Oreochromis niloticus: one gene and its partners. The protein of the gene in region 1 purifies or fractionates together with the protein of each later gene. This does not show direct contact. Links are inferred from orthologs where the notes say so. Each region holds a gene or a part of one and is shown in the gene's direction. Other genes may lie near its edges.

What was found.
Region 2: the proteins of med4 (region 1) and polr2b purify together in Homo sapiens (affinity purification with mass spectrometry; 3 studies listed by BioGRID and IntAct, with this or other methods). This does not show direct contact. The link is inferred for Oreochromis niloticus from reciprocal best matches to the Homo sapiens genes MED4 and POLR2B.
Region 3: the proteins of med4 (region 1) and cdk8 purify together in Homo sapiens (affinity purification with mass spectrometry; 9 studies listed by BioGRID and IntAct, counting the BioPlex papers as one, with this or other methods). This does not show direct contact. The link is inferred for Oreochromis niloticus from reciprocal best matches to the Homo sapiens genes MED4 and CDK8.
Region 4: the proteins of med4 (region 1) and git1 purify together in Homo sapiens (affinity purification with mass spectrometry; 3 studies listed by BioGRID and IntAct, with this or other methods). This does not show direct contact. The link is inferred for Oreochromis niloticus from reciprocal best matches to the Homo sapiens genes MED4 and GIT1.

Annotation. Positions count from the first base shown.
Region 1 is NC_031987.2:29,462,604-29,469,770, forward strand, and holds the start of med4 (mediator of RNA polymerase II transcription subunit 4), read left to right. Parts: upstream 1-4,164; 5' UTR 4,165-4,238; coding exon 4,239-4,309; intron 4,310-4,835; coding exon 4,836-4,902; intron 4,903-5,556; coding exon 5,557-5,727; intron 5,728-6,093; coding exon 6,094-6,151; intron 6,152-6,256; coding exon 6,257-6,343; intron 6,344-6,428; coding exon 6,429-6,560; intron 6,561-6,913; coding exon 6,914-7,086; 3' UTR 7,087-7,167. Other genes in the region: itm2bb (integral membrane protein 2Bb), read right to left, coding at 1,399-1,482. UniProt on the Homo sapiens protein: Component of the Mediator complex, a coactivator involved in the regulated transcription of nearly all RNA polymerase II-dependent genes.
Region 2 is NC_031966.2:36,396,744-36,404,084, reverse strand, and holds the start of polr2b (DNA-directed RNA polymerase II subunit RPB2), read left to right. Parts: upstream 1-4,327; 5' UTR 4,328-4,444; coding exon 4,445-4,463; intron 4,464-6,311; coding exon 6,312-6,384; intron 6,385-7,341. UniProt on the Homo sapiens protein: Catalytic core component of RNA polymerase II (Pol II), a DNA-dependent RNA polymerase which synthesizes mRNA precursors and many functional non-coding RNAs using the four ribonucleoside triphosphates as substrates.
Region 3 is NC_031974.2:18,859,657-18,867,398, forward strand, and holds the start of cdk8 (cyclin-dependent kinase 8), read left to right. Parts: upstream 1-4,723; 5' UTR 4,724-5,073; coding exon 5,074-5,201; intron 5,202-6,529; coding exon 6,530-6,605; intron 6,606-7,053; coding exon 7,054-7,164; intron 7,165-7,742. Other genes in the region: E3 ubiquitin-protein ligase RNF6, read right to left, coding at 1-76, 1,964-2,128, 2,234-2,389, 4,684-4,687.
Region 4 is NC_031979.2:10,581,190-10,588,163, reverse strand, and holds the start of git1 (ARF GTPase-activating protein GIT1), read left to right. Parts: upstream 1-3,956; 5' UTR 3,957-4,047; exon of another isoform or gene 4,048-4,149; 5' UTR 4,150-4,373; coding exon 4,374-4,425; intron 4,426-4,477; exon of another isoform or gene 4,478-4,656; intron 4,657-5,375; coding exon of another isoform or gene 5,376-5,391; exon of another isoform or gene 5,392-5,514; intron 5,515-6,974. Other genes in the region: ankrd13b (ankyrin repeat domain-containing protein 13B), read right to left, coding at 2,851-2,996, 5,376-5,391. UniProt on the Homo sapiens protein: GTPase-activating protein for ADP ribosylation factor family members, including ARF1.

The DNA of each region.
Region 1 (7,167 bases):
CACTCAGCACACATCTTTGAAACTACAAGCAGCCGTTTGCGTTTGCAACTGTAGCAAGGTTTACATCGCAGTGCTCTCTGCATACAGAGAGAGCCCAGAGGTCCTCTGTCAGACCGAAACAGAAACAACAGGCAGCTCCTTTTACAACAGGGTGGAGGCCAGCGGGAAGATCTTCTTGTAGACTTTACTGTCTGACAGGCAACACGCCTCAGCAGCCCACACATTCAACTCCACAAGTCAGCTCGAAAGCAGTTGAATAATACAACCAGCTCCTTTGCAGGGTGAGATCACACAGCAGTCGCAGCCGCTCTGCAACTCTAAAACTGTCATTTAGTTGCACTTTTCTAGTGAATGTTGTGTAAAATACACTGCAGCGTCACCACACTGCACAGCACTCTTTTGGGTTTTTTGCACTTTTTGGGGGGGAAAGGTGAATTTTCTAACTTTTGAATGACATTTTTAGGACACTCAACATACACATCTTTCAGACCAAAGAGGATGTCAAAGTGACAGACTCCCATGCCTTCCTGTGTAGTCTTTCCATTCTAAGCTGTTATTAATTGCTGAGAGGTGCAGATTAAAAATAACTAAATTTGCATGGACTTTTAAGTTTAGTTATGGGGAAGTTCCCACCTCCTCTGCTTTCTCTTTTTTGAGAGTGGCACTCTTCACAAAGAGGCAATAACATAACATCTGCATTTTCTGTTGTGTTTTTTTTTCTTTTCTTTTTTCTTTCCTCGGCACATGTTCATGTCCTTGAAGTCTGAGGCCAACTGATTGCAAAAAAAGCAGGAATAACTGTAATATGAAACCAGATTAAAACCCATCCTAAAATTTGCCAGGTAAAAATCTACACGTGATTTTGGTGCCAGCACTTAATGTTTTTCCCTCCACTGTTTTCTCTTACATTCTTCTGCTTACTGACTGGTCTGTTTGGTAACTGCACGCTTTAACCACCTGGTATACTTGCTGACCTCTAAAACGACATGAAAAGTCAGGCAAAGCTCGTTCCTACACTTTAGAGCCCATAAACTTACATTAATGTTTTCAGGGTATTGTCAGACCAACTTAAAAGGTGTAAATATTATATTTATGTGGATACAATAGATTTAAAAATGGAAACAAGTAGAAAATACCGGAAACATCAAGAGTATCAAAGGTGAAAAAAACAAACGCCACATGAGGAAGTAACGTCCAGTCAATTATTTGACGTTAGTAGTTTAAATGATACATTGTATGATTTTAAAATGTATTGTTTAAAAGTGTTCAAAGAGTGGAGAAACTGAAATATATCAGGAGCCCTGTTAAACAACAGTATTGTGTCTCTACGCATTTATGCTTAACTGCGCCTTTCCCCCCACCGAGAACCGAGTTTGCTGTTAGCCATTTTCTACTCACTTTGTCCTCCTCGGGAATAAGAGTTTCGGCGTCCTTCTTCACATCTTTCTGTGCCAGAGCCGTGTTAAATGATACCTTGACCATCTTGGAACAAGTGGCGACAATCTCCGAGAGAAAGGGAAAAAAAGCAACACGACAGAAAGCAAACAACAGCAAAGACAATTTGCTCCGAAGTAAAAATAAGTCGCACTTCTCCCCCGGCCAAGTCTGCTCTGTTGTTGTGATAAGAGCGATGTAAAGCTAGACTTAGAGTCGCCGCGCTTCCGACTTTCAAAATAAAAGCATATCCACGACGATTAATCTAAGACGTTCCGATATTTGACTGAAATACGACAATATAAAAGCAAAATGGCACAATCCAAGCTTAAAACTTAGCTTAAAAAGAACATCAGTGTGAAATTATGTAATTATCTGTATATACGTGCTGTATTATACCTTATTATACTTGCTTTTATTATACTTTATTTTATAGCCTCTCCTATATAAGATATGTATTTCAAAGCGATTTACAATAGGCCGAGAAGCACAGTGAATGGGAATGCTAGACAAACAACAAATAAAACAATGCAGAAAACAATTAACGAAAAACTCATTTAACATATTTAATAATATACCTACTTAAAAGAACATATAAATGACTGTTAAATAATAAAATAGATAAATAATACAAAAAGACAAGTAATAGACTAAAATGTTTTATTTAAATATAGAACAATAAAACTGTGCAAATATTATGAAAGTGATTAGATCACGACTGTTGCTCTGGTACCTAGAGCTGTCAATAAATATTATATCATTTACTTCCGAAATGTAGTGGAACACATACACTAAACTCAAGACTTTATTACTATAAATATAATTTATAGAGTTTATTACTTTTCTGGGATGTATTTACATAACCAACCATCAACACCAAGGAGTGGGGGACAATCCGAGCTACACACACTGATTAATACGATAAAAGTAAGGCAGGGGCGTCAAACATAAGCCCAGGGACCAGAATCACCTCTCCAATCTGGCCCCTGGGACAGCTTTTTAAACTGTATTTTCATAAGTTTTATGAGTTTTCCTACTGATCAAAAAACTCCCCCATGACCACTAACCTAAAATAAACAAGGAATGAAAACACAAATGACACTTTTTTACCATCATTATTCAAATCTATCATTTTTGCAGTGGCTTTACAGGAGAAATACAAAAACAAAAATTCTTTCAATTAACAAAAATGTTCTGTTTGTATAAGTAAAAGACCATCTGTGCCATAAGCCAATAGAACTTTTTCTGTATTAATACATTTGGGTGTAAATTTAATACAATTAACGTAATTAGTGGAAGTAATTTATGCATTTATTTATAACAGTTTAAGCCCAAGGAGTTGTGCTGAAAAACTTCAGTATTTCTCTGTAATGCAGAAAAACTGAGATGTATTGTGTAATGTGTAGTTAAACTTCTTTGCAATGACAGAAGTAGGAGTTAAGCTCAAATCTGGCTTTATATTTACACAGTGTAAAAGGAGTTTGATAACCCTGCCATAACATAAGAGAAAATAAGAAAATTAACATAATGGCACGAACATAAATGATGACTAAAAAGTGGTAGTGGATTAAAGAAATCCAAAATTTAAATAATTTAATGGGCTTCAAGAAAATATACACATTTTTGATTTACAGAAAAAACAGAAGAACTGTCAGTTTTAACTGATGAGCTATATAATGAATTCAGAATATATCGTATTTATTTGATTCAAATATCTCAACAAACCACGTGAATAAAATCAGGCTGCAATGTGAGTTCTCATCTCCGAAAGGCAATATCCAACCACGAAATACAGATACACTGTACACAGCTTCCAAGAGAAAAAAGTTTATATGTATTTTATCTTTTAATTACTGTGGCACTTTTCCCATTTTGCATAAATGCTTGCATTACATAAACTTTTGTGAAATTTTAAGCTGGTTTGCACTTTTATTTTGACGGTCCGGAAGCTTCTTCAGTTTCGGTTTGCGCTGTCTACGGCCTGCCACAGACTGGGGGAAACAGCCGACATCTGGGAAATGGCTGTTTCCCCCTGGTCGGGGACATGGGAACTAAATAAAATAAAGCTGTGTGAACACATTTATATACAGTGACAAAAAAACAAAACAAAAGATTAATACAATTCTTTCACGCCAGCTGGGATGTATGATGTGTGATGTACTCAAAAAAAGAAAAACAATGAAAAAAATATGGCAGAAGTACTGTATTCATTTTTATTTTCAAGCGCTTGAATCGTTACTTGAATATTTCCACATTATGTCCCGTCATAATAATATATATATATTATCAACCTTTCCAACTTAATGTACTCCTTAATTTTTCATTCGTGTCGCTTTTCGCTTGAATGAAGGTGAAATACGCTGATAACAGAAAAAAAATATTTGACGCTCTTATCTTCGTAAATGACAGGTAACCTATAATTAAAAACATAGGTCTGACAAATAAATGCAGTGCATTAAAAAGTAAAAAACAAAAAAACGGGAGGAATTTATTTGGAGTAGATGAACTTAGTACAAATTATTGAAAATTATAGATATATAAATAAGGCACCATAAGTCTAGATTAGAATATGGCTGCCAATAATACTTTTTTTTTGTTTGTTTTTTTGGGGCTGCCGATAATACTAATGTAATAACGCCAACAAATGCTACGGAAGTGAGAACAGGAGTCATATCTCTAGCATACCCTAGAGACCAAAACGCAAATTGCCCGAAAACAATAAAGAAGAAGAAGAAGAAGAAGAAGCATTAGCATGTTGGAACATCATTTCCTGTCTTGCGCAAACCAGAGGAAAGAAAGTAAACATGGCGGCGGCGGAGAAATCGACGAAGGAGAGACTACTGTCTGTGCTGGATGATTTGGAGGTTTTATCCAGGTAAAATTAAACTTCGTGTGGGGGCTTTCTTGTGTCTCGTGTAAACGGTTTGGTAAGCTATCCGTATTTTATCTGTGAAGAGATAAAATACTCATATTTGGAGCCGTGAACTAGCACCCCCAGTTTGTGCTGATTACTAGCAGACATGCCGCTCACTGGCCGAAACAACGGCTTTTCTGAAAGAAAGATAACGAACCCTGGGATTTGAAACAACCTGAAACACTGTTCTAAGTCTTTTCTTGGAAACTTTTAGCAGTTAGAAGACTGAGTGTGTCCATTTTATAAAACAAGGTTGCTGAAGAGTTTGTAGGTACTACACTCAGCGGCTAATAGTCATTTTTAAAAGGAAACTACCACAAGAATGGCCAAAATGACTAATCAGAGAAACAAAGTGAACATAGGCGTACAGAAAACGATCGTCAGTATGAGCTTTAAAAAGTAAATAAATATATAAAGATAGAAATTGATTTGTTGGATTGAGTTGTGCTGTTTGACCCATTTCTCATTGTGTGTGCGTTCATTTCAGGGAGCTGATAGAGATGCTGGCCCTGTCCAGGAGTCAGAAAATGCCTCAACCTGGAGAGGACACGCAGGTAACACCCCACTCAGCCTGCAGTTGACACACCGAGATTTAAACAAACTAATGACCCTCACAGTGACCGTCAGACCATGTGTAGTCTTAGGGTTAGTGGTGATCAAAGCTTAGCCAAAGGCCTTCTACAAGCAAGTCTCACTATGTGGCAGCTATTCTAAAATGTCTCCAGCTATATATTTGGTCAGTGTTGTGAAACACTGTCCAGTTTGATACTTGTCTGCCACTCGGTGTCTGTATTTTTCCAGTTTCTGGTACTTGATCTTTAAGTTCTTTGTGGACTTGCACAGTCTTAAGTTTTTTGCTTTTTGCTGTTTTAAAGTTTTGGTGAGACATGATCACTGATACAGGATCACTGTTTCTTTAAGGACAAACCCTGTGCTTAATTGCTAACCATAATTTTTTAGATTTAAGCATTTAATTTTAATGCGGTCACATTTGAAGATATTTAGTTCCTTCCAACTGATTTTCTGTCGTCTTGTCCATAAATCTTTCATAACTTTTGAACCTTTTATTGTGTCTGAGTCTCCAGAGAATGCCTAAAATTATTTTACAAGTTAGACTTGACTGATTTTAGTTAGTTACAGTAACCTGTATGAAGCGTATCAAATAGGAAATCTTTGATAACAGAATGTGTATATGCTTTATCCATAAGATTCTGGAGCTGTTGGTGCAGAGGGACAAGGAGTTTCAGGAGCTGATGGAGGTGGCACAGCAGCAGGGGAAGGTTCACCAGGAGATGCAACTGCTGGAGAAGGAGGTGGAGAAGAGAGACAGTGACATCCAGCAGCTCCAGAAACAACTGAAGGAAGCAGAACACATCCTGGTGGGTTTGGCTTGTCTGTTGTTTTTAATTTTTAATTTTTTTTTTTTCATCCAGAGCAGGGCAACGCTGACAGATTGAAATAAATGCTCAAATGTTTTAAGTATGCTGGTGTAGCTGACACTGTGCTCTTACAGCAGAGGCGTTCAGGGTTATAGTGTTGCTATTGTAAATGTAAAGGGGCCTATGATTCTCTTCTTTTTCTGATTTACTTTGTTACAGATGTACATATTAAACATGGTCAAGGTTTAAAATAATGAGGCCAGCATATGAAGAGTCATGATAAACAGAAACTACATCTTCTTTAAATTCTAACATCATGTGACAAGTGATAGAGAGGACTGATATATTTCTGTGTATCTCTTTCAGGCCACTGCTGTTTACCAGGCAAAAGAGAAACTGAAATCCATTGAAAGAGCCAGGAAAGGTGAGGGAACACTCCCGACACGTTCTGGTGAAAGCTGTGTTTGATGGCTGGTTTTCTCTTTGATGTCTTGCTCATAAATTGACACTGTTTACATGTTCTCTGCAGGAAGCATCTCATCAGAAGAAATCATCAAGTATGCTCACAGAATCAGTGCCAGTAACGCTGTGTGTGCTCCTCTCAACTGGGTGCCAGGTATGTGCCAGGCTCTCTTGTAGCTCCCACCGGGTGTTGGTAAAAAGTTATGTTCAGCTTCATTCACTGTCATCATACTTGACAGGTGATCCACGCAGACCGTACCCTACCGACCTGGAAATGCGTAGTGGGATGCTTGGTCACATGGCCAACCTGTCCACCAATGGTGTGAATGGGCATCTGCCAGGAGATGCATTAGCTGCTGGGAGGTTACCAGGTAAGTCCAGCTGAGCAGTTAAAGAAAGGAGTGCCCATGCCTCCTGGCAAAGAGATTGTAGATGAGGTCAGAGGTTTGTTACAGTGATTTCAAAATGTATAAGTTAATAATTTATCGTTATAATGATAAAAAGTTAAAGGATGGATCCATTATTTTTCTTTTTATCAAGTATAAACACTGAACACAGATTTTATTTGTTGCCATTCAGACTGCATCCACATCATGTTCTGTAACATAAGAAACTTGGCAAAAAGTGCCAGCTTTCAGATACTATATAAGGGAGCTGAGATAAGTAGTGTCAGTCAGTGTCTGGCATTTCACAGAATAACCACTTTTCTCTCGTGTCACTTCAGACGTCCTGACGCCTCATTACCCGTGGCAGTCGTCTGATGTCTCAGTGGGGATGCTGCCCCCTCACCACGGCAATGACTTTGGCCTGGAGCCTCCGGGTCACAACAAGGAGAACGAAGATGATGTAGAGGCCATGTCCACAGATTCTTCCAGCAGCAGTAGTGACTCCGACTAAAAGTGTGTCTCAGAGTCAAGAGACGCTGAGACGTGTGTGTGTGTGTGTGTGTGTGTGTGTGTGTGTGTGTGTCTGTATGTT
Region 2 (7,341 bases), on another chromosome or scaffold:
TTTGTGGCAGCCCTAGTAAAGATTCAAGTTACAATTATTTATATTTCCTATCTCCTTAAATCTTCACTCAAAGACAAGTATCTTTGACAGTGTGTATATAGATGTATCATATATAAAAGACAAATATTGTTCTTTTAATATGTTGGCATTACTACATTTGGCTCAATGCTTACATATATGTGTAAAAAGAAAATGTACGAGCTGTGATAACTGTTGCTGATAAAATGAAGAGTAGACTGATATATGAAATATTCCTTTATTGGGTGAGAAAATCAGACCATGTCATAACTGCTTTAAGTCATACAGAATAGACATCAGAGCTTTAAACAGGCTGACTTCTGCTAAATGGGTCAAACTGGGCAGAAAGTCTACAAACACATAACATCCTTATAGAACATGATGTAACACTATAGATCAACTTACCTCAGAATATGTAAAGCATACAAACAGTTACAGCAATGTGATGCAACAAACACAGCAGTGCTACTAATCCAAAATACTCAAAGCTTCATAGAACTGAAACAAACATTTATTTTTAGCTCCATTCTGCTGCTGATATATACTTTAGGTTTCTGAATATGAAACTTGTTGCTGCCTTTCATAGTGTGTAACTTGAAGGCCCTGAGTACTTTCTCCCACACTGAAAACACTGGGATGATAACATTATTTGAACATTACCTAATAAGACTGATTCAGGACAGACAATTAGTTATGTTAAACTTTCCCAGCAGTCCTTCACAAACAGGGAACAGTCTGTCTATTCTCTCCATCTGTCAGCTGCTGCTGGCTCTTCCTCCTCCTCTTCCTCACACACTGCTGAGTTTGTCCTGGTGGATCATCAGGGCTGCAAAGCCTCACAGATGATGTGCAGCAGTGGGTCCCTCAGTCTGTCCTCACTCTGGACACTTGCAGTTGTCACACATGGAAATCAAATGTGCGATAAGCTGCAGGATTCAAACACAAGTGTAACTTATAAATACATGTTCATACTTTTATTCCACAATCAGAGAGAAAGAAACAGAGAGAGAGTGCAGGACAGACAGACAGGTGACAGTCTCAGGTGTATACACTGCTACAAAACAGCACAAGAGAAGGAGGATTTAGTGTTTGTGTTATTACGAGTACTAAAGAAGAAGAGTTCCCAGATGGTCCAGTGGACACATGTGTGACTCCTGTGATTAAAGCATCTTTCTTTCAGCTTAACGAGTGAACCGTCAGCTCGTTCAAACACACGTTAAAGTCCGTTTGGCTCGACACCACCGAACAGAGGCAGCAATATAACATAGCTAACATTAACAGTGCAGTGAATCCTGCTTGTGCCGTCATATTCAGGACTGCAAACCGAGCAGCATCACTGACTTTCAGCTTGTTGTGTTTGTGGATATATGACTGACTTTAATTATCCATAAAATCATCACATTCTCTGTAAGATTAAGGTCAACTATTGAACGGCGTATATTTTAAATAAAAGGCTTTAAAACCAAGTTAGTACAAACATCACTAATGTCACATAACTTTGCCGACATGTGGCCAACAGTAATGTTTTAATGTTCTTCATTATTAAACATTCGCACATATGTGAGTGACATCATATTCAGTACTTATGTTGGGTCTAAACTCAGACCCCGCTGTATCCAGGACTTATTCCCATGAAAGAAAAACAAGGCAACAGTGATCGATCGTTTTTACTTGCGCAAGGGAGGCCTTTGGTCAAGACCAGCTCTTGGAGCTCACGCTCCTATCTGTCTCCAGCCCAAAGTCCTTCAAAGAGCAGCTTCCCTCGCAGCTATTTATTGACAAACTGTTACAGTTCACACAATAGTTTACAACACGTACCTCCCCTCTTAACCCCCCTTGTTTACAAAGACGAGGCACTGTATGTATATATATGTGTGTGTGTGTGTGTGTGTGTGTGTGTGTGTGTGAGAAAGAGACCTCCTGCTGGGCAGGAAGCTTACATCAAACAGACCTTCCAGATAGGATGTGTCTGTAATCAAACCTACAGCCCCTCACCTAAAAACTCAAGAATCTGGGGAGGGGGACAGTGGAATTCCTTTCATCCTACAGTTAAACAATGTAGAAATGGATGGTAAGCATAAAAATGACAAACATTTAACCATCCACTATAACAACTTACTTTTGAAAGTTCACTCTTCGGCCGCTCCACTTCAGCCGCCTGCCGTATTTTTCGGCAAAATTATCCACACCCACCGCCACGCTATGAATTGTGGGATATATGTGACCACGAAGTGTACACCGGACCACACTTCAAATTTGGGGAAATGGACGGCAAATTTGTCGACGGCATTTGGAGTACACTTCGAACTGGGACAGGCGTCGTCACGGTGCTGTGGCATAATCGGTCTCCAAATGCGCACTACGAAGCATGTGGTCGCTGGGTTGGGACAAAGCCGTAGGCAGCGAAGGCTGCGTTCTCCAAGGATGCAGACCCTGAATTGACACACATGAACCTAATGACAGGACAGGTGAAGTGAAACTACATACAATGAACAAAGAACACCAGACTCTTTCAAAATACAACCGGAAACATGGAGACATAGACATGACACGAACTTGACAACAAGGACAACACAGTCATGAAACATGACAGGTAGACGTGTGGACCAGGGAGACTTAGTACAGGGGAAGATGACAAAAAGTACTAAGAAACAAAGGACTAAACTGCAATCTAAAAATTAACTACATGAGCTAAACTAGAACATAAATGAATACAAAAGATACATAAAAACTCATACACTGGGTCACACGACCCAGTACCCTGACAATTGCTGTGCAATGCCCAACCATTAAATGACAGTAAGAACTGACAGTAAGATTTACAGATTACTACAAAATTTACAGATTTTAACTGAGAAATTTACAGTAAAACAATGCAAATAACGATTTACAGAAGAAATTATGGATAAAAAGAAATTATAAATTATAAGAAGTGTGCAAATAAACAGAGCGTGTCCGGTGCAGTGATGTATGGGACTCCAGTCATGTCCTACAGCTGGTTCAGGGCCCGAATAGCCTGAGGGAGGAAGCTCCTCCTCATTCTCTCTGCTTTGGTCTTAAGGAAGCGTAAGCACTTCCCAGACCTCAACAGTGAGAAGAGTCCATTATTGGGATGGGAGAGGTCCATCATAATCTTCCTAGCTTTGGTCTTACACTGCTTGGTGTAGATGGACAGCAGGTCAGGAAGCTCTGCTCGAATGATGTGTTCGGCTGAGCGCACCACTCTTTGCAGATCTCGTCTGTCCTGCTTGGTGCTTTTCCCAAACCAGGTGCAGATGTTTCCATCAGGACGCTCTCGATGGTGCAGGAGTAAAAGTTCTTGAGCACCCTCAGTGGCAGATGGAAGTCTCTGAGTCTTCTGAGGAAGAAGAGACGCTGGTGAACTTTGGATTCTAGCCAATCATTTTACCTTTGCAAGCGTAGTAGGCGGGCCCAGATACATACATTCTTTTAGAGCTACAGATTAAAAATACCCAAGGCAAAGCGGTCAAAAGTCTGGCTGTACTTCACAGCAAAAGATGCAAACTCAGCAGCCTGCAACAAGTGCTTTAAGCTGATACTGTGATACTGTCAAAGGAGGTAACTCCTCGAATCTGATGAAACACCTGGCGATGTATAGCATTTTGTTAGAAGCCGAGAAATGCGCCATATTTGATAGCTTGCTGCGAGACCTCACACCGAGCACATCTACTGCGGGTGTGGTGCCTCGGACCCGGAGTTAGCAACATCCCCCAAAAACCCGAAGAGGAGAGTCCTGGCCCCTAGCCCTGCCAGTGTAGCAGAAATGATGACGATGATGATGGCAGCAGCAGCCGTTCTTCTCTGCGTGAGTATGAGTAATGTTGTTCGTGTGTAATTTACGTTGAGTAGGCTAACCACATTATTACATTAATGCATGTAAGGTGAACTAGCAAACACCGTCGTAGTTACATGCGGCTGTCTTCTTGTTTGATGGCAGGTACTCCCTTCACCCTGGCCAAAAAGGCTAAAATGACCAAAGAAAAAGTGGGAAACAGTTAAACATGAGAACATGAGGTTTTTGGACAAAGTTTGTGTTTTTACCATTGTTTAAGCACTGCTTCCAGCCAAGAGTGATGCCATATATGCCCTATAGCTGCAGAAAAGGCTAACTTTGTAATTGTTACTTGTGCTTCACAATAAAATATCTGAAGAGAAATAAAGAACGTTTTTTGGAAAACCAAACAAACAAAAACACACACGATATTGACTTGAGAGCAAGCTTGAGGATTTGTGCAGTTGTAGCATCCAGCCTGTGAGGGACAGTAATGCTTCACCTCTGCCTATTACTAACAAAGAAGAACAAAGCGGAAGTGACCTGCGTTTCCGGGGCGCGCGGTGATCGCATCGTTTTGTGGTTGTTGTTTTTATTTTTGTTGTTGTGGTTTTAAGTTTTCAGGAGATAAACATGTATGACCAGGATGAAGGTGAGCTGCACAGCCGTAAAACTTCATTACGTCACATGGTGGATTATTTTATTTGCATTTATTGGGTAATTTTATTAACAGGACGTGACAGAGGAGCTAACCCGTGCTACAGCTAACCATTTTAGTAATTTCTGAGAGAACAAAAGCTAGTATCACTCATCCAAACAAACACCTGTCACACAGGTACGCGTCGGCTTCACGCAGATCACGAGCCTCACCTGAATCGTGTGCTAACAGCAGCTAAAAGCAGCGGGGCTTTGTGTGAGCTAACAGGCTAAATGCTGCTAACGCACGAGGACCCTTTATTTAACTTATCGCTGCAGACGTTTACACTCAGCGTTACTGTGACACTACACCCACAAATACTGCAATTTATAAACAGTACCACAGTATAAACGCGAACACTTATATTATGTGTAAATTCTGCAGTATAAAAACAGTGTACAATCCGCCACATTTACACAGTATAAACACTGCATAAAGAAAGCTCTACCGTGATCAGAGATTGATCAGCGATGGAAGTAAACGTTGACCACAAGATACTTGACCGATCTATCTTTAAGTTAAAGGTGAGAGGTCATTACCCAGTTTCTCAGGGAGGCAAAGCTACAGGCAGCAGGTCAGTTCCTCCTGTCTTCTCCTCCTTACCTCCTTTTAACCTGTAAAGGTCATGAAATGAAAGAGATGATGAGAAAAATAGACGTGTGCTGTGCTGAGACACACTAGTCTCCTCAATTACGTGAGGCTGAAGGGCTGCCGTGTTAAAACTACAAAGTGCAGAAGATGGACTACAAAATGTCTTCCTTCATCACAGGTGTTTTACAGGTTGTGATAATGAAAATGTCCCTTCAAAGACAGGACAGGATGTCTGCTGCACCTCAAAACACTCAGCTGTCTTTATCCTGGAATAACTGAAGAGGTTTAGGACTCAAAGTCAGGGACAAAGTGTTTTTGCAGTACACTAATGACACAAGTATTTGTAAGAGGTTCCTTTCAAGAGCAGAATATTTAAATGAGCCACATTAACAGGATTTGTTCCACAAACTTTAACTCTGAGTAAATAGTTTGTGAAGCAGAGTAATAGCTGATTTGATCATTTATGATTCATTTGAATGAGGGGGACGAGAGAGTTTGTAATCAGCTCAAAGCTGTGAGAGCAGGTCCAAGACTCCTCACTTAAGTGTTTCAAAAGCCAAGCTTGGATTTTATGAAACAGTTGTTTGAGCTCACAGGGAGCGTCATCTGTAGTGTGAGAAATGAAAGTGAAGTGTCTGTCAGACTGCAGCTGTTAATGAGATTCTGTGTGGGCTGGAAAACGCTGAACGTTGGATTTAGCCGTGTGTCACCTCCATGACTCGTGATCTGACAGTAAATCATCACCATCGTGCGGTCAGCAGTTTGGAATCAGCTCTCTGATGAACCCTGCGGCTCAGTCTTCAGGACCTCACAGTTCATATCAACAGAGTTCTCCTGATACAACCAGCTTCAGGCTGTGTGCTGCATTTGCCTGCACTCAGATAGGAAGTGATGTCATTACACTCAACTCACACCAACAGGAAGTTTACTTAACAGATCAGATGTGTTGCTTCTGATTGATCAGTTTGCGTGATCAGAGCCAGTGAGTTGAAAACAGAACGATCAATAACTTTCCTGTGAGATTGTCATCTGTTTTTATTGATGTATCTGATCAATTCACCAGTTGTTTAAACTGATCAGTAAACTCTATGTGCAGTTATCTGTGAAAAGGAAGCAACCTGAACCGACAATCTGTCATTGATTGATCGGTGAAGCTTCTATGTCTCAGTATGTGTATTGCTCATGTATATTGATCCCTGCTGTCTCTGTCAGATAATCAGTATGATGAAGATGATGATGAGATCACTCCTGACCTGTGGCAGGAAGCGTGCTGGATCGTCATCAGGTAAACTCACCTGTGTGTCTTTGTGGAGATGTAGTGATCATCTGTTCTTACAGGAAAAATATTATGGTGAGTCCACACAAAGCGCGGACCGGAGGGCATGTACACGGACCCGCCATCGGTGTTCAAAGCTGACAGCTCAAAGGTCTCTGATGCTGCAGGTTTTGTCTCTCTCTGAACCAGCAGCAAAAGAAGATCAAACTACGTTTCTCGTTTGATAAACATAATCATTAATTCCCTCTGACTTTGGCTAGTTTCCCATCTCAGATCTCTGTTTTTTGCATTATTCACTGGCTCATTACCCACCAGCAATGTTCCCTCTAAGATACGCACGTGCGCAATTGCGCACTGCTGGCACGGTCTCTGTGCACAAAAAAAATTAACCTGAATTGCAATTAAAATTAAAACTTTAACAATTCTGTTTTGCAGTGTTAGCCAGTGAGTGACTGGCTGCTCCCGTATGGGATTAGAACGATTCCACCTTATCCCACAGTCCAGCCAATAATGCGATTCACATTCGTGTATATGCAGCCAATCATCGTCGTTGACAGGCTATGACAGCGTCCTTATGTGCCGACACCGGTGTTTTAGCTGGCAAAGCAGCGTGGCTGATGTGGAGTGAAGCCACGTTAATGACAACGTTTCCAACCATTGGAGATGTGAGCAGGACAGACGGAACAACTGACGGAAAAAGTGTGGACTTTATACCAGTTTTTAAATTGTGTTGATAGGCCACGTAAAACCAGAGTTATGATAAAATATCTGCAATGTTTGGTTTTCTTCCTGAATACTGTCGTTGTTTATATTTACTGCGGGAAGAAACGGTAAAAACGGCGTTTTATAAGGAAAACGCTCGAAAGCCTGTGAACAAAGACAACACCAAAAACCCCGCCCTTTCCTATTGGTGGAAAAATGTACCATGTGGACCAATCAAAAAATGATATGGCAACATGGCATTTA
Region 3 (7,742 bases), on another chromosome or scaffold:
CCAGTGCGTCTGAAAGTATTCAGCCACTCCAGTAATGAGTCACCATTAGAAGTTTCTGCTCCAGGTTCTGTGCCCCCTGTAGGAAGGGGAAAAAAAAGAAGAAAAAAAAGGTTACGATTAGGTAAATTAAATCATTAAATCTACTTCTCTTTTCACAGGTCTCTAGCAGAAATCTTGCTTTTGTTCTCTTGCAACAATATAAAAGCCATTTTAAACTATTCAAAACCAGTACTTAGACTGTATTTACTGTCAGGCTAAAACATAAATACAAACACGGTTCAACAAAGCACGCCGTCTTGTTTGGTACCAGCTTAGGCAAGGTTTAAAATAAATACAAGACCTTCACAGAACATATTATGAAACCTGTCTTTTGTCATCCTTTTTTTTTCCTTTTTCTTTTTTTTTGCTGCCAAAGCAAGTCCTTAAAGATTATTTTGTGTTTTTCCTGTCCTGTGTTTTTGATTTTTTTAAATCAAAAATTAAGTAACTTTTGGCTGTGTTTTGACTGTTGTCGTTATTTCGTCTAATATGCAAGTCTGAGTGTGCAGGTGCCTCTCCGTGATTGGTGCATCCAGGGGACGGATCGTACGGATTGGCTAATGACCGGGGAACAACATATAGGAAGACACCGCCATGGACGGCCGTTCATTCATCCTCGGCCAATCCCAACCAGCAGACTTTGTGTTCCCTGTTTAGCTATGTTTGTTTGATGCAGGAGCATGTAGGGGTGGACTGCCTTTTTGTTTGAGTTTTCTCCTGTTTTGTTAGTTAGGAAGGTAAGTCGCTGTCGTTTGGTTTAATTCTTTTGAGTAGGTAAGTTTGATTTATCCTTGAGATAGGCTCCCTTTGTTTGTTATTTTGGCCTTAGGTCCACCCCGAAGTTTTAATTCGCTCCCTTCCTTTGTTTTTAAATTCACTTATTGTAAATAAATCACAGTCAAAAAGTACTGATTGTGCGATGTGTTGCTTGGGGTCAGATAGGGATGGATCACCCTTATGTTATGGTCTGGCCACCCCTAGGCGGGCCGTAAAAGCTGCTCCATTATTTCCTAAAGCTGCGTACACATATGAAATGATTCGTTCATTGGACATTGCTTCGAAGCTGATGGCCAGTCATTTGTGGACATTCTAAGCTCCAGTTCCCTCAGTAAGCCCCTAATAAGTTTACTACCAGGTCATATGTCAATCATGGGTAGTCTTCAATCTCATTACTCGTCTGTTCATTTACTCCTCTGAAAGTTGACAACGGTTTATCACGAGTGACACCTACTTCCTTTCCCCAGCACTCATTTTGTCTTTATTCACTTGAATTTTGATGACTTTCTAGGGTCTCTAGTCGCCACATTGCTGTGAATTGCTTCCAGTGTGTACGCAGCTTTAGGGGTCACCACAGCAGATGGATCCCTAAAGACCCCGGTATACCCCTTCGTTTGTGACTTCACACGTCACCAGTGCTTGTCACATAGCCACTTCTATTTACTCTCATCGGACAGGCGCAGGTAGCTGCTGCTGTATTCTGATGAATGATAGGTGCCGTGACTCAGACACTACCACCACATTAGTGCTGATAGGAAGAGAAGTAGACAAAACTGAAAGTAAAGACATTTGAAATAAATCCAGAGCAAAATTTTTTCCATCTCTTCAAACTGCTGCAGCATCTCCCTAAGTATAATCTGCGAATCTCTGACCTTCTCTACTGATACATCTTTAAAACTGCAGCGAGAACTAACATGATTTTAAACTCTTATCTTAAACCCTGCTGCAAACTGCCAGGTTACAAAAGTCACGAGGTTGATTCTGCTTCTCACCCCAGAATCAAACCACAGATCTTTTGCATGTAAGGTGAATGTTCTACCACTATACCACAGAGCCATTTAACTCAAAAGTGACTTTGGGGCTTAACATAAAACAAAACATCACAAAAGCCAGATCTGGAAAGATTAAGGGAAGAAGTCCTTCCTACCTGCTCCTCGTCTCCCTCCAGCACCTCTCTCTTCTCCCTCACCGCTGCTGCTCTGCTGCTCTCCAGACTCAGAAGTCTGTGAGCGCTGCTCGGTAGAAGGCTGAGATGACAAACGCTCTTTTGCTCCATCCAGACGCTGGCGGAGCTCTTCAGCAGTCACCTCCCCTGTAAAACAAATATTTCATGGGCTTTGTGTTTTTTGTACAATAAAAATAACTGTGGGTACAGATACAACAACATGGCGCAAAAGCATCAAGTGCCCCTCCTTACCAGGAGTGCCCAGCAGGTTGCCATCTCTCATTAGACGGTACTCCTCTTCACTCAGTTCATTAATGAAGTGATAGTACGCCTCCTCCCTTCGAAGACGCTCTGCCTGCCTCCGCCGTTCATCTCCCCCACCAGGAGGGTCCATCACCGTGTAAAGTGCTGGCAGACAAATAAGCAAGAGTCAGTCACGGATGATCTGTCACTTAGTTACCCTCTGTAGATATTTGTCTTTCTAATATGTTGCAGATGAACAAGTCATGTGTTAGCTAATGGTCATCTGATTCGGTTATGGACAAGCAAAGATCAAACTGTTATATAGCGAGCAGTTGCTATAAATAAGACCAGCGCAAAACACAGTGCAAATATGAGCTGTTTGCTCAACGTTGTCTTTGAGTGACTATTTCTACCCAAGGGCAACAGTTAAATCAACGCCATCCATTTTCTGTCGAAACACTTACAGCAAAAGAATGGAAATGGCTACGTTAATCTTGCTAACGTTTAGCCTAGAGGTTAGCGCCGAAAATTCATCAAATTTAATTATGCCCATGCTCAGTTAAATCCCTACCACGGTAAATCTAAGGGGTAGTGTAACAATGAAGCAGTCATCACGAAACCTAACATTAACGCAGTGACAACAGTATCCACGGAAGGCCATGTTGAAGGCAGCGGAATAAAGCAACAAAACTGGCGTTGTCATCCTGGTTAGCCACCAATCAGCGGCGTAATCTCAAGACGGACACGCCAGGCATCCAATCAGCGTTGAACATAGGCGGGCCGTGATAAACCGAAAGGGAGGCTTCCTCCATGTAAACGCAGGGCAAACAGTGAAAGACAAAGAATCTCGTCAGCGCTATTAGAGAATTACAAAATCGAGATGTTGACACATAGTAGCGATTACGACAACATTGGCTCAACATTACAATTAGAATTGTGGATATTTAAAAAGCCATTTAAGTGCGCAATGCTTCAGCTACTAACTCAGCGCTAGCTCGTTAGCACAACCAGCGTTAGCGACTACCACATAGCTCCGCTAGCCGACCCACCAGCGAGCTACGAGGCTCATTAACTTATCATAATTTATTATGACAGAACGTTTTCTCAAGCAGTGGGAGTACACGGAACCTATCACTTAACCCTAACACACTTTCATAAGAGATGACAGTGGCATGTAAAAGAATTTCGTACCTGACGAGGCAGCTGTAATATGGACGGTTCGCTTTGCTCTCTCTGCTCTCTCAAATCAAGATGGGACCAGCGGTGCTGCACTACAGCGTCGGTCAAAAACAAGATGCCCGGCTATAATAGTTCCTACCTAACATAACATCAAAGCTAAGCTCAAGGTTTGGCTGACCTAGGTGACAGCAGTGAATGTCAGTGTAAAAGCATCATTTATAAAGTTGCTATACTTTTATTCAGCTATACTATACTATCTAAAACTTCAAAGTATTTTTCTCAGAAATGTGAGTTAGTAAGATTACATTTCGAGATTAAAACACGGAAATTTTGACTTTTTTTTAGTGGTGGGAACAAGCTTCACATTAGGGTTCTTGATGCCTTTGTTTAAATTATTTTAAATATTCTAAATATTCAGCTAATCATATATTGTATCTCAGTCATAACTGCCACTCTTTATTGGCAATTATAAAGGTTGCTGGCTGCAGAAGCTAAAATAGCTCTTCCAACATTCCAGGGTATGGTAATGAGTGGATAGGTTCTTGGACCAATCATAGCAGTTTTCCACTTTTAAAATACTTTAAACTGATTCACTTAGATTTCCAATGGGAGTGGGACCAAGATTAGAAATTAGCATATCAGAGGCACACCTCAAATTGAAACAAAATTAGAGAGGCAAGGCTGAGATGGTTTGAACATGTGCAGAGCAGGGATAGTGGATATATTGAACAAAGGTACTGAAGATGGAGCTGCCAGGGAGGAAAAGAGGAAGACCACAGAGGAGGTTCATGGACATAGTGAAGGGGGACATGCAGAGGGTTGGTGTAACAGAGGAGGATGCTAGAGATATGGTGAGATGGAGGGAGATGATCCACTGTGGTGACCACTAAAGGAAGCAGCAAAAAGAAGATGATAAAAAGAGTTTAAAAGTATATTGTTTTTTGTCTCCCTTTTTTATACGTTTCATTACTTTATCCCGTGACTGCCCATTCAACATTAATCTGTTTGGACAGTCTTTTTCTTTTCACAATATAGTGCTATTTAAACCATACTTTACTTATTCTCTTGAATTAAAATCAAATGCATGTCTGCTTTCTTTGTGGTGGACAGAATGTGCAGATATTTGTTTGCACAGCCCTCTTATAGCCACGTAATAACCCACAATACGGAAAATAATAAGCTAGCTTCTCCTTAGCATAAAGACGATACGATGATATCAAGTCATATCTCAGCTATATTTGAGTGAGAGTGAGAATTTCCACGTGGTATAGCCAGCCTACCCATTTTTTCTTTGGCTCTTTCTCTGCTGCAGGGCTGTCTTCACGACGTTTTACGACAATGCCGTGCGCGAATACGCCGTCGTTACCGAGTGAAGTGCGTCCCTTCGGAGCAGATACCGGCTGAAGAGAAACGCAGCAACAAGATAAAGGAATATATTTGGGGCTCCGTTTCCACCTGGACCATCTCGGAGCGCCGCATATCTCCTCCGGAGCTTTAAATTTAAGACGAGAACTCGATGTGAAAGCCGGGCTGGAGGAAGGAAAGAGCCACGCTGGAGAAGGCAACTAGCTGAATTACCAAACCGAGCTCGGTGGAGGAGCCTAGTTGCCTCCCAAGCGACGCTTTAAAAAAGGAAGGAGCGGATACATTCAGGCCAGACGGTGGTAAAAATGGACTATGATTTTAAAGTGAAGCTGACCGGCGAAAGAGAGCGTGTCGAGGACCTGTTTGAGTACGAAGGATGCAAAGTGGGTAGAGGCACCTACGGCCATGTATACAAGGCGAAGAGAAAAGATGGGTGAGTTGATGAGCAGCAAGGCCTTTTAGCCAGTGAACCCTAGCCAGCTTACCCCCCCGCCTCCTGCCTCTCTTCTCATCTTCCAAATAAATGTTACCTCTCTCCTCTTCCTCCCCCTTTCAAGGCCACTTGCAGATGTGGGAGTGTTGCAGTGGGTTTGTGTAGAGACAAAAGAGAGCAGTGTGAGCAGTTTCAGCTCGCACTGTTGGGATGCTGATGAAGCTTTGTGTCGCGCACAAAAAACACCGACATACGGTTTACCACCGGGATTGGAGCTTTCCCTTTTCATGCATCTGTTTTGTCACGTATATGCCTAACTCTAGGTACTATTTTTTATTTATTTAAGCTAAAGTATTTTTTAATTCCCCCCCCCATGCGATGTAGTAAATGTAATACAGCAGGTGCATGTGGAAGCACTTGTTGATGTCTTCTTTTTTTTAAGTCTTTGTTATACATGATACCAAAGAGACTTTTACAAGATTTTGTGTGAATTCAAAAAATAATCTTTAGTTATGCCCAGTTTTTGCACTCTTAAGTCTTTTTTTTTTTTTTTTTTACCCAATTTTATCATTATTTTTTTTATGCTTTTAGCCTTTGCATGAAGTAAAGTAAGGGAAATAGCTGAACCCAAACTGTAGACTTATGTGGTGCATGGTTAGTGTGCTAATCCCTCAGGATGCCAGGGCACCACCCACCTTTCTTCCTAAAACTTTCCTGCTGTTTCTAATGTGAGCCTTGTAACAGCCTTAACTGTGTCTGGACCAGAGCTGGGGGAGAGCTCAAGACGGTTTAAGCTACTAGTCCCGTTATTACAGCCCGGACATACTGGCAGCAGGAACCACACAAAAGAGTCCTAAAGTGTTTAAAGATGTCTGTATTTCGCTTTAGGAGCCTGCTTTTTTTATGAGACTTTTTAGCAGAGTTGCGCTGCTGCTTTTGGACGAGGCCTGAGGAGGCACAAAGCTTGGGTTTATGAGATGATTTAGGCCCGGCAGAGGGAGGGGTTGTAACCAATTCGTTCAAGTAAGCGCCAGTGCCAGTGCTCTGTTTGTCCCTTGCCAGCTGCCAGACAGGCCCTGTTTCCTTTCCCTCTCTATTGTTTTGACCCTCAGAGGTGAGCTTGATTACACAAATTTGGAGGTAATGCAACTCGGCCTCTTCTCAGAGTCCCACTGGCAGCTGCCAAGTGCCCCCCTTTATGTTGCTGTGCAAACGGCTCTCAGGGGGCCCTCAGTCTGGACTGGTCTGGGCTGGTCTGGTGTTGATGTTGCTCTACCTTTCTGTGTGTGTGTGTGTGTGTGTGTGTGTGTGTGTCTGTGTGTTTGTAGGAAGGATGATAAGGACTACGCCCTCAAGCAGATTGAAGGCACTGGCATCTCCATGTCAGCCTGCAGAGAGATTGCAGTAAGAGCTGCTTGGCTTACTCTGTTCCTTTTGTTTGGTCTGTGATTAAACACCTTCTTGCCATTCCAGGTGCTTTATGTAACGTCTGAATGACCTTCACACGCTAGTTTTTGTCAAGAAAATGAAAAATGTGAAATACAAGCAATTGTAAAATTGAAAAGTCAGGAAGCAGATGTTAATGCAGTGCATATAGAGAGTAGACACAGAATTAGTGATATGACGTATTGCCTCACAAGCGGTTTTCTTTAAAACATCTTACTACCAAAGATTAAAAGTGTTCAGTTGAGGAGATGATATCGTGTCCACCCCCCTGTTTAAGTATAAATTCTGGTAATCAGTACAGTCGCAAAAATAAGTGCAAAGTTTCTCTTTCGTTACGTCATTTTCATTCATGATGTCTGTAATGAGATTGTGTGGTTGGCCTTCTGAGTGGGTTTGTATGTTGCAGCTGCTGCGGGAGCTGAAGCACCCCAATGTCATCTCACTGCAGAAGGTTTTCCTGTCACATGCTGACCGTAAAGTATGGCTGCTCTTTGACTATGCTGAACATGATCTCTGGGTAAAATGCAAACACACAACACACACATACACACACACTTGACCTGCATGACATGACTTATCATACATATTATGAGGGTAATGCATGTTGGGTTTTTTTAAAATTGTTTGTTTTAAGCATTTCTTTATTAGTTTATATTCATATGCATGCATGGGTTGCAGATTTCCACCTATTTTTATGAGCACAAAGACATGACTTAAATAGGCCTCTCTTCATAATTAGGTCATAAATGTCCATGCAATTTGATAGCAGTTTTTTGGGGGGGGGTTGCATGTCCTTTCTTTTAAAAAATGCCAAATCCCTTTTAATGCCGATGCATTCACATTCGCTTTCAACCAGTAATAAGGAACGAGACTTGAAATAGTGCTAATTATGCATTGGTAAGTCTCATTAAAGCACACACATCCACCAAGAAGTATTCCATGTTGAGCAGTTAAACCTCTGCTGCATTACCGTTGACAGAAACAGCTGGCAGAGAATCAGAACTGAGTTAGATGCCGTTTTCTGCCACAGAGCTCCAACAATTGCATTCCCCTCCCAAGGAAGTGGAAACACATGTCACAAACATTAGGCTCTCT
Region 4 (6,974 bases), on another chromosome or scaffold:
TATAAAACATACCAAATAATGCATCACAAATGAGTCCATGGATATAATGCTAATTGTTAATGCTGACATTAGTTTATAAAGCGAGGAAAATGTTTGCAGGATTGTATAACATAATCCATATGAGCATACAATCACACAAAGAGAAATTTTGCTGTAGTTTGCGACCTGTCACCACATACACGTTGAGCTTTAGACTCTAAGAAAACACACCTGGTGCTGGCAGGGAAAATGCAAGAAATATGGGGGGAAAAAATCATTATGTTCTTGGAAATAGCTTTAAAGTCATATTCTAATATAAGCAAGGAGAGAAAACAGACTGTAATCTTACCACTGTTTTAAATTTCATATAAACCTAGGGTGCATAATGACAGCTGGTAGACATGGCCCCATGTACTGTAACTGAAATAAAGTACAATAAAAATAACTTGCAACTGGAAGATGATCAGCTGTGCTTATTTACTAAAGTTCATTTGCACGTTTAGCACTTTGTTTGCTCTAATGCAGTAAAAACAAGTATCAGACAGTCTGGCTGGCTTAGTTTAAAAAGAAAAAAAGAAAAAAAGTGGAGGGTTCCAATGCACAGCAGAGGAGGAATAAAAATTTGCATTATAAAATATTTATTGATACAAGAGTTCCTGAAAAATGAATTACTATGGGGCTATGAGGGCAAATTTATTGAGCCTGTGTGAACAAAACATGGCCAGAAGTTTCTGTTTACTGAGCGTGATGTGAAATATTAGCTACAGTAAAGTAATGTGTTAATATTTAATACTTCATTAACACACTTAGGTGGTGGCAAAATAAATACAATAATAATAAATGGTATAAACTCTACGAGGTACCTACTGGTGCCAAATTATAGGCACGAGGGAGGGACTCACAAAGCACAGAAGTAATGCAAAGACAGTTAATAATTACAAGCCAGAGGTATATCATTAACGAGCTACTTTCATAAAAGGTTGCCAGCAGGTCAGCATCTACCTGTGTTGCTTGACATTGGCCGTTAGAAATTCCATTATTATACATTACAACAGTGAGATGTATGAAAGGCAAATGTGTCTCTTTCAGGAAATGGATAAAATGCTTGTAGTCCTTCCTGTGACTGGGTTGTTGTAATGATTCTCACTGCATCACCTTAAATTTCCCAGCATTTCCCAGTTAGCAGGAATACTTAATGCAATGGGATTCATCCTCAGGGGATCATGAACAACTGCTCTGCACTTAAGTGTAACTCAGTCTATCCAATACAATCCATCCAATATTTGTTAGGACATTTCTGAGTGTGAAACTGACCAATCAATGGCCCACTGACGCTTTCATTGTTTAAGAGACCCCGCAAGTGTAGCTACTGGACGAAGATGCACACCTTTGCTTTAAATGTATCAATCTTGACATTTGAAAATATGAGACACTCTCCCAGGTTAGCAACTAATCCAATTTTTGAGTGAACACCGACTCAACTGCACATGTTTGGCTAGGTATGTTTTCTCTGTAGAGTTTGAATAATCGTAATAATTAGAGGTGGAGCGTTGACGGCCTGTTACATTTTTGGAGCAGATTCTTTAAAATTGCACGATAGTGCATTGACTAAGAATGAAGAGCGCTTTCTCTGAGTGAGTGCCCTTCCAGTTTTAATTAAGCCCTCAGCCAGCAGCCAGGGTTTGAAAAGTTTTTGTCTCCTCCGCCTCAAGAGCTCACATGATTCATTTCCATCTCCTCTATGCATGAAACGCGGTAACTATGTCACCTCTAGCCCTGACTTGACAATGAGAGGTCTGTTCTTAGAGCCTCTTAACTGTGAGGTGTGCCATGTGTTTTGCAATAGTTATTATTATGGTGAGGATTTAAATGTAACGTGTCATTCCCACAATCTATTGCTGTAAATGCAGGGAACTGTGGCAAACTGACAGCTGACCGTTTTTGGTCTAAAGAAATGGCTCCCCGGGTTATGATTTTATAACCACATGAAGGTGAGGGTGTGCATGCGTAGGCAAGTGTGCGTAAATGTGTGCACACACGTGTAGAAATGTGATGGCTTGAGCAAGATGCAAGCAGTTCTCCTCTATATTTGTTTGAATTCACAAGCATCTGTTCACATGACACACTGTGATATTCTTATCGTGTTATCTGGTCCCTCCCTTTTTACCGCTGTGACAAATATCCATCCATTACTGCATGTCTCATATTTGGAGACCATAGTGTATCTTAATGGTTCTATTACTGTATTTACTGTGGTCGCTGGCAACTGTTCGCCCACATGCTACAATATCTGCATTGTCTCACCCACTCACAAAGGGTTTAGGTGCTGGTGGGAAGGTGGAGAGCCTACACTTTTGAGTAGATAACAATAAAGCTGCTTAAACACAGACATAAACGCATAAACGCGCACACACACACACACACACACACACACACACACACACACACAGTTCAACCCCATAAGGTTTCACTTTGATTTTCCTTTTTTTTTTCAGGAATAAACTCCTGACACAACTTCCTATACATATTTAAATTACAGGGAGGCTGGGTATTTCCGGTACCTATGCGCAGCACAGACCTGACATGTATAGCCTGTTGTGTCACACTGTGGTTTAAAAAATGAATGGCAACAAGAAAATAGCACAGATTCGAGGGCACGATACGGTCCACAAGTGTCACCCTCCACCCTATAGCAATTAACTGCGCTAATACCGGCCAGGTTCTTGAATGAGGTGGTCCGTGGATGGCAGCTTCTCCACCACTATCTACAGCTATGGATCCACATACCTAATAATCGCCTGTAAAATAGCTTTATATATGGAAAGAAAAAATGTGTTTGATCGCCTTTCCACTCCCCCCTCACATTCTCACCTGCTCGTTCCTTGCAAGCTCCTTCTCCAGTTGTCGGTGTTTGTTGTGCCACACCAGATAGTGGATAGGATAACGACTCTTCTCCGGAGTTTTCTTAGCAGAAATCATCCTCGGATCATAGTTTGCCTCTCCCTCCTCTTTCTTCACTGTGGATCGCAAGAATACTTTGTCACAGATTTACGCTATACAATTAATCCTATCATCCTGCATCGGCGGTGATGCCCAAAGGCGTGTAGGGCAACCTTACGCGTCAGAAACAGTGGATGGCTCCCTGCTCGCTCTGCTTAGAATAAACGCAAAAGCCCCATGAAATCATTTAGAAATAAAGATAAGGGGGGAGAAAAGCCCTCCCTTGATTGTGTCAGTAGATTGGGTTACACCTTTATTCCTTATCCACCCGTTCCTCCTCCTCTCGCTTTCTCTTCCTCGCTCTCTTTCTCCCCTGCCTACTCTAACGCGTCTATCCTCCTCCTCTCCTCCCATCCGGTGGTGACTGAGAAAGATGCATTGACAAGCTGCAATGAAATGGGCGCACACTCAGCCAATCCGCTGTCAGGGCTCTGATAAAACACATGCCTTGTGAAAAAGAAAAAGAAATCGAAATGATGCGTTTAAAGTGAACCAGGCCCACATAGCATAGGAGTGTTATAAAGGAGGTGTGGGCGTACTGTGGAGAAGGCTGGGGAGCGCACGACATGACAGCAAAAGACAAAATTCATCAAAGTTGAAATGAAAGCCAAACTTCTTGATTCTTTTTGTTCCTCTACTCTTATTCTGCGTTATTCACAGCAGATTTTTCTTGTCGACACGACAGAAAAGTGAAACAGATAAATCCAATAAATCAATAGCACTTTAATGTTTCATTTGACTGCTAAAGCTGCTCAGCCATTGAATGTTCATTAAGAGGTCAGAGAAGGTGATCACGATATTTCTGCTTAAATGGAGCAGTGTGTGTCTTATATCTAAATGCTGATTAACATCAAGTAACTTTTCTGTCAGCATGAATTTTAGATTGTGATTAAGTCCCACTCTATCGAAACCACCTCACCTTTAAGAATATAAGGTTATCATCACGCCCTGTCCCTCCCTGTCCTAAGTTGTCGGGATGTTGGGTGTGTGTGTGTGTGCGCGCTCGTGTGTGTCAGAGTGAGTGAGCGCGAGCGCGGATACTGTCAGGTAAAGAGCTGCCGTCTCTCGGTGAGTTGCAGGCAATGCAGGGAACAGATTTACTGTAGCAATATTCCGAGATGAGATCCTTTATATAAACAGATTAACTATGTTCACATAACTTGGATCCAGTCTTGGAGTTCATCAGCGAACGTGGGCGAACAGACCGCTGGAATTAACGGGAAGCTCAGTCGTCGTCAGCTGGCCGGGGGAAAAGCCGATCATACCACCCGGCTTCCGGGGATTCAGGGGCCGCATCGGTTGACGGCAGACGTCGGTCTGTAGCTCGGGGGGGAAGACGGGCGAATATTCACATCATCGCCGACATCCACCTCTCCGTTTCATCCACTTTCGAGATGTCGAGAAAGCTACAAAGAACAGAAGTCTGCGCTGACTGCAGTGCGCCAGGTAAGGAACAGAAAAAAAGAGAAAACAGACCATGGGACTGGAACAATGCGTCGATAGGGGCGACGTGGTGGGAGAACAAGGCCGAAGTTGCTGTCATTGTCAGAGGGTCTGCAGAGCAGGAAAACGGCCAGGGCTCCAAAGCGTCGTTTAGGCCCAAAATAAACACTGGAAAAAATAGGCGTGTTGCCACAACGGGAGAATATCTCTAGCTAACAGCTGCTCAACGTTAATGTAAGCCATTGAATAACTTGATAGGTATATTTATTTGACCACGGCCATATGTGAGAACGAGCAGTTTATTTGGGGCAATTTAAGATCCGAGTGTCAGCTTTATGCTGCCTTCCCACTCGAAGAGACGTTTGTTTTGATTTTCGTGACCGGGACAGACTTCCGAACACGTTAGCTTAGCTTGGCTAGCGAGCTGGCGATTTTGAGTCACTATGCAGCTGTGTGATAGAAGAATTTATGGTAGAGTGAATGTCCTGAGATATAATAATACATTTATAGCGATGAACAGCTATCATATTGTTAGCACTTGCCCGTGGCTTTTGGAGTTTGTGCTTTTTATACTGCTAGCTTAGCTATGACGTTAGCTACTTCAGCTAACTTTTGCTAAACGCCAAGTTATTGCCAAGCTGATTCAGCTAAAGCGTCAGCGACCAGTCAATAGCTTTAACAACAATTTGGCTTAAAAAATACAGTAAAGTATCAAAAACGTAACTAGAGTTTCTGTTTGTTTAACTTGATGATTTTAGAATATCTACAGTAAAGTTAAGAAATAAAATAATGAGAATTAATAGGAGTAAATTCAGTTTACAGTCATCCTAAGTTGGAGCACAATTCAACATAAACCTGAAATGAGCCATACCTGTAGTTGTACCTCAAAATCATTTAAAAGCCACCTCAGTTACATTAACCTAGTACAACACAAAGTTAATTTCTAGCTTCACCTGTCTCAGCTTTCATCCATACTGTTCAGGGCGTAGTGATTTCCACTACAGTGACCATCCATAATTCTAGGTTAGTTTCCAACCCACTTCTCCTTTGGCCCCATCTGTGTTTGTTAAAATCTGATTAGAGGCAATGTTAATAAGACCCTTCGTATGTAGCCCCAAATGCACGTGCTGTTTCAGTTCGATCCCCTTGATCATTGGTGATCTTGTGTGCCTTGCTTGCATTCATTCATGTATACATGTGCAGCAGCTGCTCTTATGACAGCTGCGACCCCTGATAACTCTAAACTGTCTATATGCTGCAGTCCAGCCTTGCATTGCACACCTTGCTATTATTACTTACTAACATGCTTCAGCACCTATTTGCCTTTTCTGGTTCCCTTTGAGTTACTTTTTACATACTGATGAAACCCCAGTTGAACTCCTTTCGTTGATACTATATTAACCTGCAGAATAACAACATGCGCATTATCTGTGACATATTAGTTATGTTTTAAAGCTTTAGTTTATTTACTAGACAAAATAAGGCATTCACAATGGTAGATGGCTTGTTCGCGTACCTGTTACTAGCCGTGCATTTCTTCTACAACCATCATCTCTCTGCATGTAGCCTCCTTGCGACTTACACACACACACACACGCACGCAGTGCTTTCTGCAAAATGCTGACCTAGCCCCCTGGTGACAGGCCACCTCCCTACTACCCAGCTTTGTGTCATACTGGGGGGATAACTCAATGGCATTGCTACAAAGGACGACTGATACTCCTTTCGTAGCCAAGCTTCAGGAGCCTTTAATGTCACACCATGGCAATCTGCACAGTTTATGGCAACAGTGAATCACATCGTCACTATAGTAAACTCTTTATTGCGCACAGATGCATTTGTTTAGGAAACTGAAACTCTTGTGCAACTATTCACAGAAGAGAACAGCGGGGTTGAGTCGATATGTTGTGTTGGTGTCCGTGTCAGGCTTTGCTGTTGTTGCTGTGTTTGGTTAAATTTAGAAGTAAGATGGAGTAAATCCGGCAAGCTGAAACTTAGTACAATTAAACACTGTATTAAAATGCATTGTGATATACACCAAATGAGCCTGAAGCTAACCCGTTAATGGCCAAAGTATACAGATGTGTGCAACATGTTATCTCAGTGTTTGAGAGTGGAGTGTAACACAATTTTAAAAACTTGCACTCATTTGTAGCATATGTTTTTGTGCAGGGTTAGCTGACACGTATAAAAACAAATGTTATACTGGATTGATGAATTAGGCCAACTTTAGGCAACATTATGCAGCAACATGCTGCAGATTTCACCAATACAGCACTGCTAATAGTCTATCCACTTCTAATAGCTTAATGGCATAGCCTCATATTGATTTAGCAGACCAGGCAGATAGCCTAGCCTGTGGGAGTTTTTTTTAATATTTATTACACAGATTAAGGAATTAAATTGCTGCGGCCTTTAAAGCCTACAGGGCTGCTGTTCTAAACTGAGCTATAGCTTTTTTTAAAAGCCATTTTGCATTTCCTATTTCTTTTTTTCTATGGGCAAAAAGACTTAAAGCACACCGGTTCATCTGATGATGGACTATTTTAGCT